Arabidopsis thaliana: one gene and its partner. The protein of the gene in region 1 interacts with the protein of each later gene in a pairwise test. Each region holds a gene or a part of one and is shown in the gene's direction. Other genes may lie near its edges.

What was found.
Region 2: the proteins of IDD2 (region 1) and DAZ1 interact in a two-hybrid assay, tested with the Arabidopsis thaliana proteins (one large-scale study listed by BioGRID).

Annotation. Positions count from the first base shown.
Region 1 is NC_003074.8:18,838,609-18,843,630, forward strand, and holds IDD2 (indeterminate(ID)-domain 2), read left to right. Parts: upstream 1-1,802; 5' UTR 1,803-2,336; coding exon 2,337-2,466; intron 2,467-2,543; coding exon 2,544-2,940; intron 2,941-3,023; coding exon 3,024-3,223; intron 3,224-3,589; coding exon 3,590-4,221; 3' UTR 4,222-4,445; downstream 4,446-5,022. UniProt on the Arabidopsis thaliana protein: Transcription factor that acts as a positive regulator of gibberellin (GA) action, homeostasis and signaling. GA converts the GAF1 complex from transcriptional activator to repressor via the degradation of DELLA proteins.
Region 2 is NC_003071.7:7,476,116-7,479,911, reverse strand, and holds DAZ1 (C2H2-like zinc finger protein), read left to right. Parts: upstream 1-2,228; 5' UTR 2,229-2,264; coding exon 2,265-3,077; 3' UTR 3,078-3,250; downstream 3,251-3,796. Other genes in the region: AT2G17190 (ubiquitin family protein), read left to right, coding at 199-401, 486-599, 702-757, 1,147-1,175, 1,320-1,409, 1,492-1,640; AT2G17170 (Protein kinase superfamily protein), read right to left, coding at 3,474-3,554, 3,638-3,796. UniProt on the Arabidopsis thaliana protein: Mediates the regulation of male germ cell division by DUO1.

The DNA of each region.
Region 1 (5,022 bases):
GAACCAATGAACTCGTTATGTAATGTATATTTGTCTCGATTATGATTATCTAATTTTTGTTCAAATCAACAAAGTACTAGTCTATTGTTAGAAGCGTTAGTTACGTTAGTTGATATCATAGCCATGTTAAGCTAGTATCATCCTCGACAAAAGTAATATTATCATCGATGTTCCCGTTACATTAGACTCTTAATACATGTTAATTATGAATATCCATATATTAATATGATTGTATGCTTCAAGAAAATAAAAAGATCATGATTTGATAATTGATACTACACTTAAAGTAATTATAGTTTTTTTTATTTTTTTTTATTTTCACATTTCCAAACATATGTGATCGAATACGAATGGCGATGTTTAAGATGCTAAATCAACAAGATCCTTACACAAAATCGAAGCAATTTTTGAGGAGTATGTAAACAGTGACCGACTTGAATACCTTCAGTGCCACGTTTTTCCTCACTTGGACAAACTTGTTCTTCATTTTTATTTGTTTGGACCAAGATAACTCGTTATTCATTACGAGGGCTTTCCACGGAAGAAAATGCACTACCTACAAAAGAAATGGAATAATATAAACTTGAATGGGCCCTGCTTGGGATATCAAGACTTCGGCCCAGCAATGTCCGTGCATGCAAATATTTTGTTAATCACTTTTTAAAGTAGCATTTGGATTATCGCTTAGTATATTTGCATTCCCATCTATTACTAATACTACAATACTAGGAGCAAAAGTTATTAGTTCTTTAATTTGATTGCTAGATAGTGCTGGAAACTTTATTTCAGGAAATGGAATTTCTAGGCTGGCTAAATAGTGTTCTGGATTCTTGAGGGACCCTGTTACGCCTAAAAATAATGTTGTTTTTTTGAAGGTCATCAAAATAAACATTTTATAAGACAGTAAAAAAAGAAATAAGACAATTATATTTATGTAGTCAAACGCTTGTTTTTGCTGGATATATAATTACATAAAAGTTGCATTTATCCTTTAATCAATTGCCAAAAAGCAAGAAATAATATCAATCCAATCTTATAAACAACTATATTATGAAAAAGATGATAATTATTGTACGCAAGATGTTATACGACACACGTAATTTGTAGATACACAAAAAGGTCAAGGTCAACAAATAACACGATCAATTGCATTAAATGTGTACTAGCATGGTTATCAGAAATTTTTATTGATACCATGGAATCGATAGACGACAAAACCAACCGTAATTTCAAAATTTCCGTAATTGTTTCTCTTCTCTTTTCTTGTTTTATCGACGATTATGGAAATTTTTTTTTTTTAACGGAGATGTTTGGTCCGACAACGTGACGGTAAATCCTCCACTGTCTTCGCTTAAAGACAAACGACAATTAATCTTTTTAACTCCTCGTTTCACTTGCAAAGTTATTTCATCATTTTAGTAGTTTACTCTCATTCTACTAAATTTGTATTTTTATTGTAACATAACGGTCATATCAGTATTTGGTTAGTTGATTATGTGACATGACTATGGATAATAAGACTTGATATGAATTCCCATATATAAGAAATCGTCGATGACATAAAACTACTTTATCTACTAACTTCATAAGGCAAAAATGAGTAGATAATTAGATTATTAGAAAGAGAGAGACAATGAGATTGATATTTTTTATATGGGAGTCCAAAATCAAGATAGATATACTTGAAAACACTCGAACCCCACAAGGATCGACAAAATATTTCTTTTTAAATAGCTCAAAAAAATTATTTAAAAAAATTCAAAATCTTTTTAAAATATCCAAAATGTTGAAAAGTTGTAAATCGATAAAAGAGAAAAATAATAATAATTGTGCCAATAGAGAGAAAGAGAGAGACAGAAGAAGAAAGAAAGGTTCCTTTGTCTCGGAACAACCAAAGAGCCACCACCCAAAAAAAAAAAGGTTCTTAGCTTTTTTTCTTTCTTTCACACGAAATCTCACGAGACGCCTTATTTCTTCTTCTCTGTCTCTTTCCGACGGCGTAACTCTCCGGTGGAATCTCAGCTCTCTTATCAGTAGAAGAAGTTTTGGTCTTTAAATGTAATTTTTTTGGTTTTGCTTTAAATTTCAATCGTTGTTATCAGAAAAAGTAGGTAGCAAAAAAAGAGATTTTTTACGAAAAGCAGATTGACTGGTAGCTGAAACAACGGAGGAGAATTATAGAAACGAGTAAAAAACAAAACCCTAAAGGTTGAAACTTGGTTGACGAAAAAAATGAGCTGATTTTTTTTTCTTCATTTATTTCATTCTTAACTCTTTTTCACATATTTAAGAATCAGTAAGAAACAAAAAAAAACAGAGTGAGACTAAAAAAAAAGATGCCGGTAGATTTAGATAACTCCTCCACAGTTTCCGGTGAAGCAAGTGTTTCAATCTCATCCACCGGAAACCAAAACCCACTTCCAAACTCCACCGGAAAGAAGAAACGTAACCTCCCTGGCATGCCTGGTAAACTTCAAAAATCCAAACTTTATTATAACTCAAAATTTCTCAATTTTTGTTAAAGTTTTGTCCTTTTTATACAGATCCAGAGTCAGAAGTTATAGCTTTATCACCAAAAACATTACTAGCAACAAACAGATTTGTTTGTGAAATCTGTAACAAAGGGTTTCAAAGAGACCAGAATCTTCAACTTCATCGTCGTGGACACAATTTACCATGGAAGCTTCGTCAGAAATCAAACAAAGAAGTGAAGAAAAAAGTCTATGTTTGTCCTGAAGTTAGTTGTGTTCATCACGACCCTTCACGTGCTTTAGGAGATCTAACTGGAATCAAGAAACACTTTTGTCGGAAACATGGTGAGAAGAAGTGGAAATGTGATAAATGTTCTAAGAAATACGCTGTTCAATCTGATTGGAAAGCTCATTCCAAGATTTGTGGTACTAAAGAGTATAAATGTGATTGTGGTACTCTGTTTTCTAGGTAAAGTGTTTGCCTTTTTTGATCATACATAAGAAAAAATTCAAAATTCAACAATCTAAGTTTTGAGTGATTTTTGTTTGCAGGAGGGATAGTTTTATAACGCATAGAGCTTTTTGTGATGCTTTGGCTGAAGAAAATGCGAGAAGTCATCATAGTCAGAGTAAGAAACAGAATCCTGAAATTTTGACCCGGAAAAACCCGGTACCCAACCCGGTTCCTGCTCCGGTGGATACTGAGTCTGCTAAAATCAAATCCTCCTCGACTTTAACAATTAAGCAATCAGGTAAAGAGTCTCTTGTAGTGTTCTAGATTGGGAATTTTTTGGTGTTTTTGGATTCATTTTTGTCGCTATATTTCTTTGTTTTAAGCTGAAAATGAAGATGGCTAAGGTAATCTCTGTTAATGGTCGGTGGTGTTCTTGGAGTTTAGTTAGATGTTTTGTCCGTAGTGTCGTATTATTTTATCTGTTACTTGATTAAGAACATAATTCGTTTGGTAAGTTTAATAGTTGTTCAATGGCTGATTGGTTCTTTATGATAAACAAATCAAAGATATGATTGATTTGCTTTTTGTTTGTTTACAGTTTATTTTTTCAATTCAAAAAGTATCAAACTTTATGTAAACGACTAATGACTCTTATGATCTACAGAATCTCCAAAAACCCCTCCTGAAATCGTTCAAGAAGCTCCAAAACCGACCAGTTTAAATGTTGTTACAAGCAACGGTGTTTTCGCAGGCTTATTCGAATCTTCCTCGGCTTCTCCAAGTATATACACAACATCGTCTTCTTCGAAGAGTCTTTTCGCGTCATCTTCGTCCATTGAACCTATCTCTTTGGGTCTTTCAACAAGTCATGGATCATCCTTTCTTGGGTCAAACCGGTTCCACGCTCAGCCCGCGATGTCAGCAACCGCTTTACTTCAAAAAGCAGCTCAAATGGGAGCAGCTTCTTCAGGAGGTTCATTGCTTCACGGGTTAGGGATAGTTTCATCCACTTCAACTTCTATAGACGCAATAGTCCCTCATGGACTAGGATTAGGACTGCCTTGTGGTGGCGAAAGCAGCTCGGGTTTAAAAGAGCTTATGATGGGGAATTCATCGGTGTTTGGTCCGAAACAAACGACATTAGACTTCCTCGGTTTAGGTAGAGCGGTTGGTAACGGAAATGGTCCAAGTAACGGACTATCTACTCTAGTCGGAGGAGGAACCGGCATCGATATGGCAACAACATTTGGATCAGGAGAGTTTTCAGGGAAAGACATTAGTAGAAGAAAATCATAAGTAGAGTAAATGAATGTGTTTGAGAGGGTTTTAGATGTTCTTGTTCAATAGGTTAGTGTGAGAATTTGAAAACTTCCCTTTGAAAGAAAGGGTTCACTATTTAATATATATGCAATTAGTTAATTATTCTGATTTACCTAATTTCGATTTCTTAAACGCAAAGAAATCTTTAGTGACGAGTGATGATGATTTACTCTTCTTATCTAATAAATTCCTTCACAAATGCAATAAATGGAATTGTTTTGCTTTCGTTTCCTTAATCGGAATAGGTAAAGAGAGTGAGATTTACTTCTTTATATAGAAACTCTTTCCAAATCTTGAATAATAGGGTCCCATTTGTTTTTTTGTTAAAATTTTCGGTGGAATATTGAAATTTTTTACCTTTCGAATTTGACATTTGATTTGATTAGATATTCGATAGACAAAAAGAAGAAAGAGATTCGGACAATAGATTTTTTTGCTGTGCCAATCGTATCGTAGGACCATTATTGATAATCGATATAGTGACGTGTTATTATCACGACAGGACAACACTAAGCCGTTTACAATCTCCTAATACGACCCATTACGTTAATGAAAATAGGCCATCGTTACTTGGGGGCTTAGGCCATAATTTATAAGCCCATTTATCTCAGTTTAGGCCCAAAGTTTCTCAATATATCTAAATATACTAAATCAGCAGTCACTTTTCCAGTAAGTGATGCATTTAGTGATTGACACATCAGCTTATTACTATTTTTTTATTCTTTCATTTTCACGCAGGATTTTTATGTGTCGTTTTTATTTAACTTTGTTTTTTTC
Region 2 (3,796 bases), on another chromosome or scaffold:
TAAGAAGTGAAAGTTTATGTTTACCACACTGGTCAGGAATAGTATTGATTATAGTAATAATTGGTGAGTTCATGTTCTCACAGTTTGTTGTTATGACTAGTTTGTCTATGAATAAGTTTCTTGGCTGTTTGTTTCTAGTTTAACTGTTACTCGTAATGCACTAAAGATTTTAGAACATATTGTGGGGCTACTTGACAGGCCAGACAACTGCCCCTGGAAGGACAAATGCTGGACTTGGTGGTCTTGGTGGGCTTGGAGGCCTTGGTGGACTCGGTATGCTGGGAGCGGACTCACCTCTTGGTGCGACTCCAGATGCTTCTCAATTGAGCCAAATACTGCAAAACCCCGCTATGTCGCAGATGATGCAAAGCGTACTTTCCAATCCACAGTACATGAATCAGGTAGCGCCTTCAGTAATCTGAATTTTAGACATTGTAGCTATTGTGAGGCTGTCTTTAATATTTTAATATTTCCTTCATTTCCAGCTTATGAGTCTTAACCCACAACTCCGAAGCATGCTAGATATGAATCCTCAGTTGAGGGAAATGATGCAGAACCCTGATTTCCTTCGCCAGTTTAGCTCTCCCGAGATGATGCAGGTTAGTTGGGCCCATGTTGTCTCTCCAGATAATTATTTTTATATCATTCAGTAGTCAAATTTCTCCGACCTAATGTTTTCTATTGTTTTTTGGTCTTTTTAGCAAATGATGTCTCTACAACAATCACTTTTCTCTCAGAATAGGAACACGGCTGGCCAGTAAGTTTGGATACCCTTTTCTGTTTTCTTTAGTTGGAACATTAGTTGAGTAGGTAATGTCCTTTATATATCATAATAGGATTTTGGGTTGATCTGTGTTTAGAAAATAGTGTCACTAGCTAACCAGGTAATTCTCTCGGTGGTGAACTATCTTATATTAAGTAATAAATGGGTTGAATCATTAGTAATGCAGCAACTCTTGTATGTTTTACTGGGCTGATCATTAGTGACCTTTATCAACGGCTGTAAAGTATTTTAGTCCTTGAAATAAACTTGAATAGGAGCATAAAAATTTTCGTTCTTTTTTGGTTCTTTCCTTTAACATTTGATATCAGTGATCTTGATTTCCATCAACCTCTATTCATGTTCCCAATCCATCTTCTTTGTAGGGATCCTACGCAAACTGGTGCTGCGACAGGTACTATATTATCTGTAATTGAAGTATGAAGGCTTCAACTAGTTCACTTAGACAGTGTGCTTTTTTTTGTTCTTTTGCTTTACTTTAATCGTATATTCATTACGTTGCTTATTGAGTAAATCACTACTATGGAAATATTTATAGGGACAGCCAATAACGGAGGACTAGATTTATTGATGAATATGTTTGGCAGCCTTGGTGCTGGCGGCCTAAGTGGCACAAACCAACCCAATGGTTAGATTCACTAGGGGCTATACTTTGATTTCTTATATATCTATTGAGATGGTTCCACTGAAACATGTCTATTTGATTCCAGTTCCTCCTGAAGAGCGATTTGCGACTCAGTTGCAACAGTTGCAAGAAATGGGATTCTACGACAGAGCAGAGAACATAAGGGCTTTGCTTGCAACCAATGGTAACGTTAACGCTGCTGTAGAACGACTCTTGGGGAGTATTGGCCAGTAACATACAGGTTCGTGAACTGATATCACTCCACTCTGGCTTCTCAATTATAGAATAAACAATGTGTTTTCTTTCAGTAATCTAATTTATGGAATTCGTATAACTACATTTATGATAGGATCGCGAACTTGTGGATAGAAAAGCCGCTCATCGATACACTATTTGTTTTCAATGGTCATCTTCTTTCCTCTTTACCCAATCCCCACAACCTTTTTTACATACTTTGGGTCGTCTGTTATCTTTCAGATTCTATTTGAAGTTGTTACCTCGTACATCTGTAGAAGTTGATTTCGAAATGTGGAATGGTTACATTTACGTTTTCTTATCTCCATTTTACTTATTAAATATAGCTGTAGTGACGTTGATAATTTGTGATTGAGCGTTAAGTTTTTCATTCGAATAACAAAGATAAATACAATAATAATTGAAAGAAAAACAAAACTTATGAGGAAAACAAAAAAAGAAATGTAAATCCGACAAAACAGGGAGAAGTAACTGCTAAGAAACCGTCGATGAAAACTAACTTGTTCTTCTTCTACTTAACCAACCATAACTCCCACTCTTCTACTTTTTTTTTTCCTCTCTTTTAGTTTTTCTGTCTTCTCTCTAGTAAGAGACTCAATAATAATGTCGAACACTTCAAACTCCGATCCCAATTCCGATATCCCATTTGCTTCCTCCAATGTAACTCTTCCTAGTTACAATCAAAACCCAAGAAGAAAACGTACTAAACTCACCAACAACGAAGTCGGTTCTTCTTCGTCTTCTCCAAGGCCTAAACCGGTCACGCAACCGGACCCTGATGCTTCACAAATCGCACGACCATGTACTGAATGTGGTAAACAATTCGGGTCACTGAAGGCACTCTTTGGACACATGAGATGTCACCCTGAACGTCAGTGGCGTGGCATCAACCCTCCTTCTAACTTCAAACGTAGGATCAACTCAAACGCTGCGTCATCATCCTCGAGTTGGGATCCATCTGAGGAAGAGCATAACATAGCCTCCTGTTTACTAATGATGGCTAATGGTGATGTCCCAACCCGTTCAAGTGAAGTTGAGGAACGGTTTGAGTGTGATGGTTGTAAGAAAGTGTTTGGGTCACATCAAGCGTTAGGCGGACATAGAGCAACACATAAAGACGTCAAAGGATGTTTCGCCAATAAAAACATAACCGAAGATCCTCCTCCTCCACCTCCTCAAGAGATCGTTGATCAAGATAAGGGCAAGAGTGTGAAGTTGGTCTCGGGGATGAATCATCGATGTAACATCTGTTCTAGAGTGTTCTCCAGTGGTCAAGCGTTAGGAGGTCACATGAGATGTCATTGGGAGAAAGATCAGGAAGAGAACCAAGTCAGGGGCATTGATCTTAATGTTCCTGCGGCGACATCTTCAGACACAACGTTAGGTTGTTCCTTGGATCTTAGGTTAGGACTTTGATATATGATAACTTAAGGTTTTATATATTTATTGGGTATTTGGTTCTTTCTCTTAATTAACAAAAAACTCTCTCTGTATATATGTGTGATACTTTGTATGATGAACGTATAGGATTGTGGTATTGTATTCTATATATAAGTTAATTAGTTTATGAAATGCAAATAGAGTTATTTACTAAATGTCCAATATTCAAGAAATTAGCTTTATGAAGTTTAAAACGTTGAATCTTTTTCCCTATGTAAAAAGTTTATATTGTTTGATCATACATGTATATGTATCATGCATGGATTATGGTGTTTCTTCACAGTGTCAGTACACTAAGTGAGAAAATCAAGATTCTTCTTCCCTAAAAATGTTGCTTCGAGAAGAGTTACTTTGTTGAAGCTATTAGCAGATTCAGGGTGGAAGTTGTTGTTGACTCGAAGATGATGCCACATCGTGCTGCTTTGTTACTTCATGCATTTCAGAAGATGAAATCTACAAGCAAAAAGATTTGGTTTTATAACATGAATGCGAAAAATCTTCAGGGATGAAATTATTGTAACAGTAAGCCTCCTTACTTCTTTTTTAGCCTGCAAGGCTTTAAGTGTTGCAACAAGCTTTTTAGTGATGCCATTCTCTATATAACCCTTCCACTGCAAACATTCAGAGGCGAGTTTTAAAACTATAGTAGCTTCTTCTGTAGAGAACTTTCCCTTCAGATTTGGATCCATGAGCTC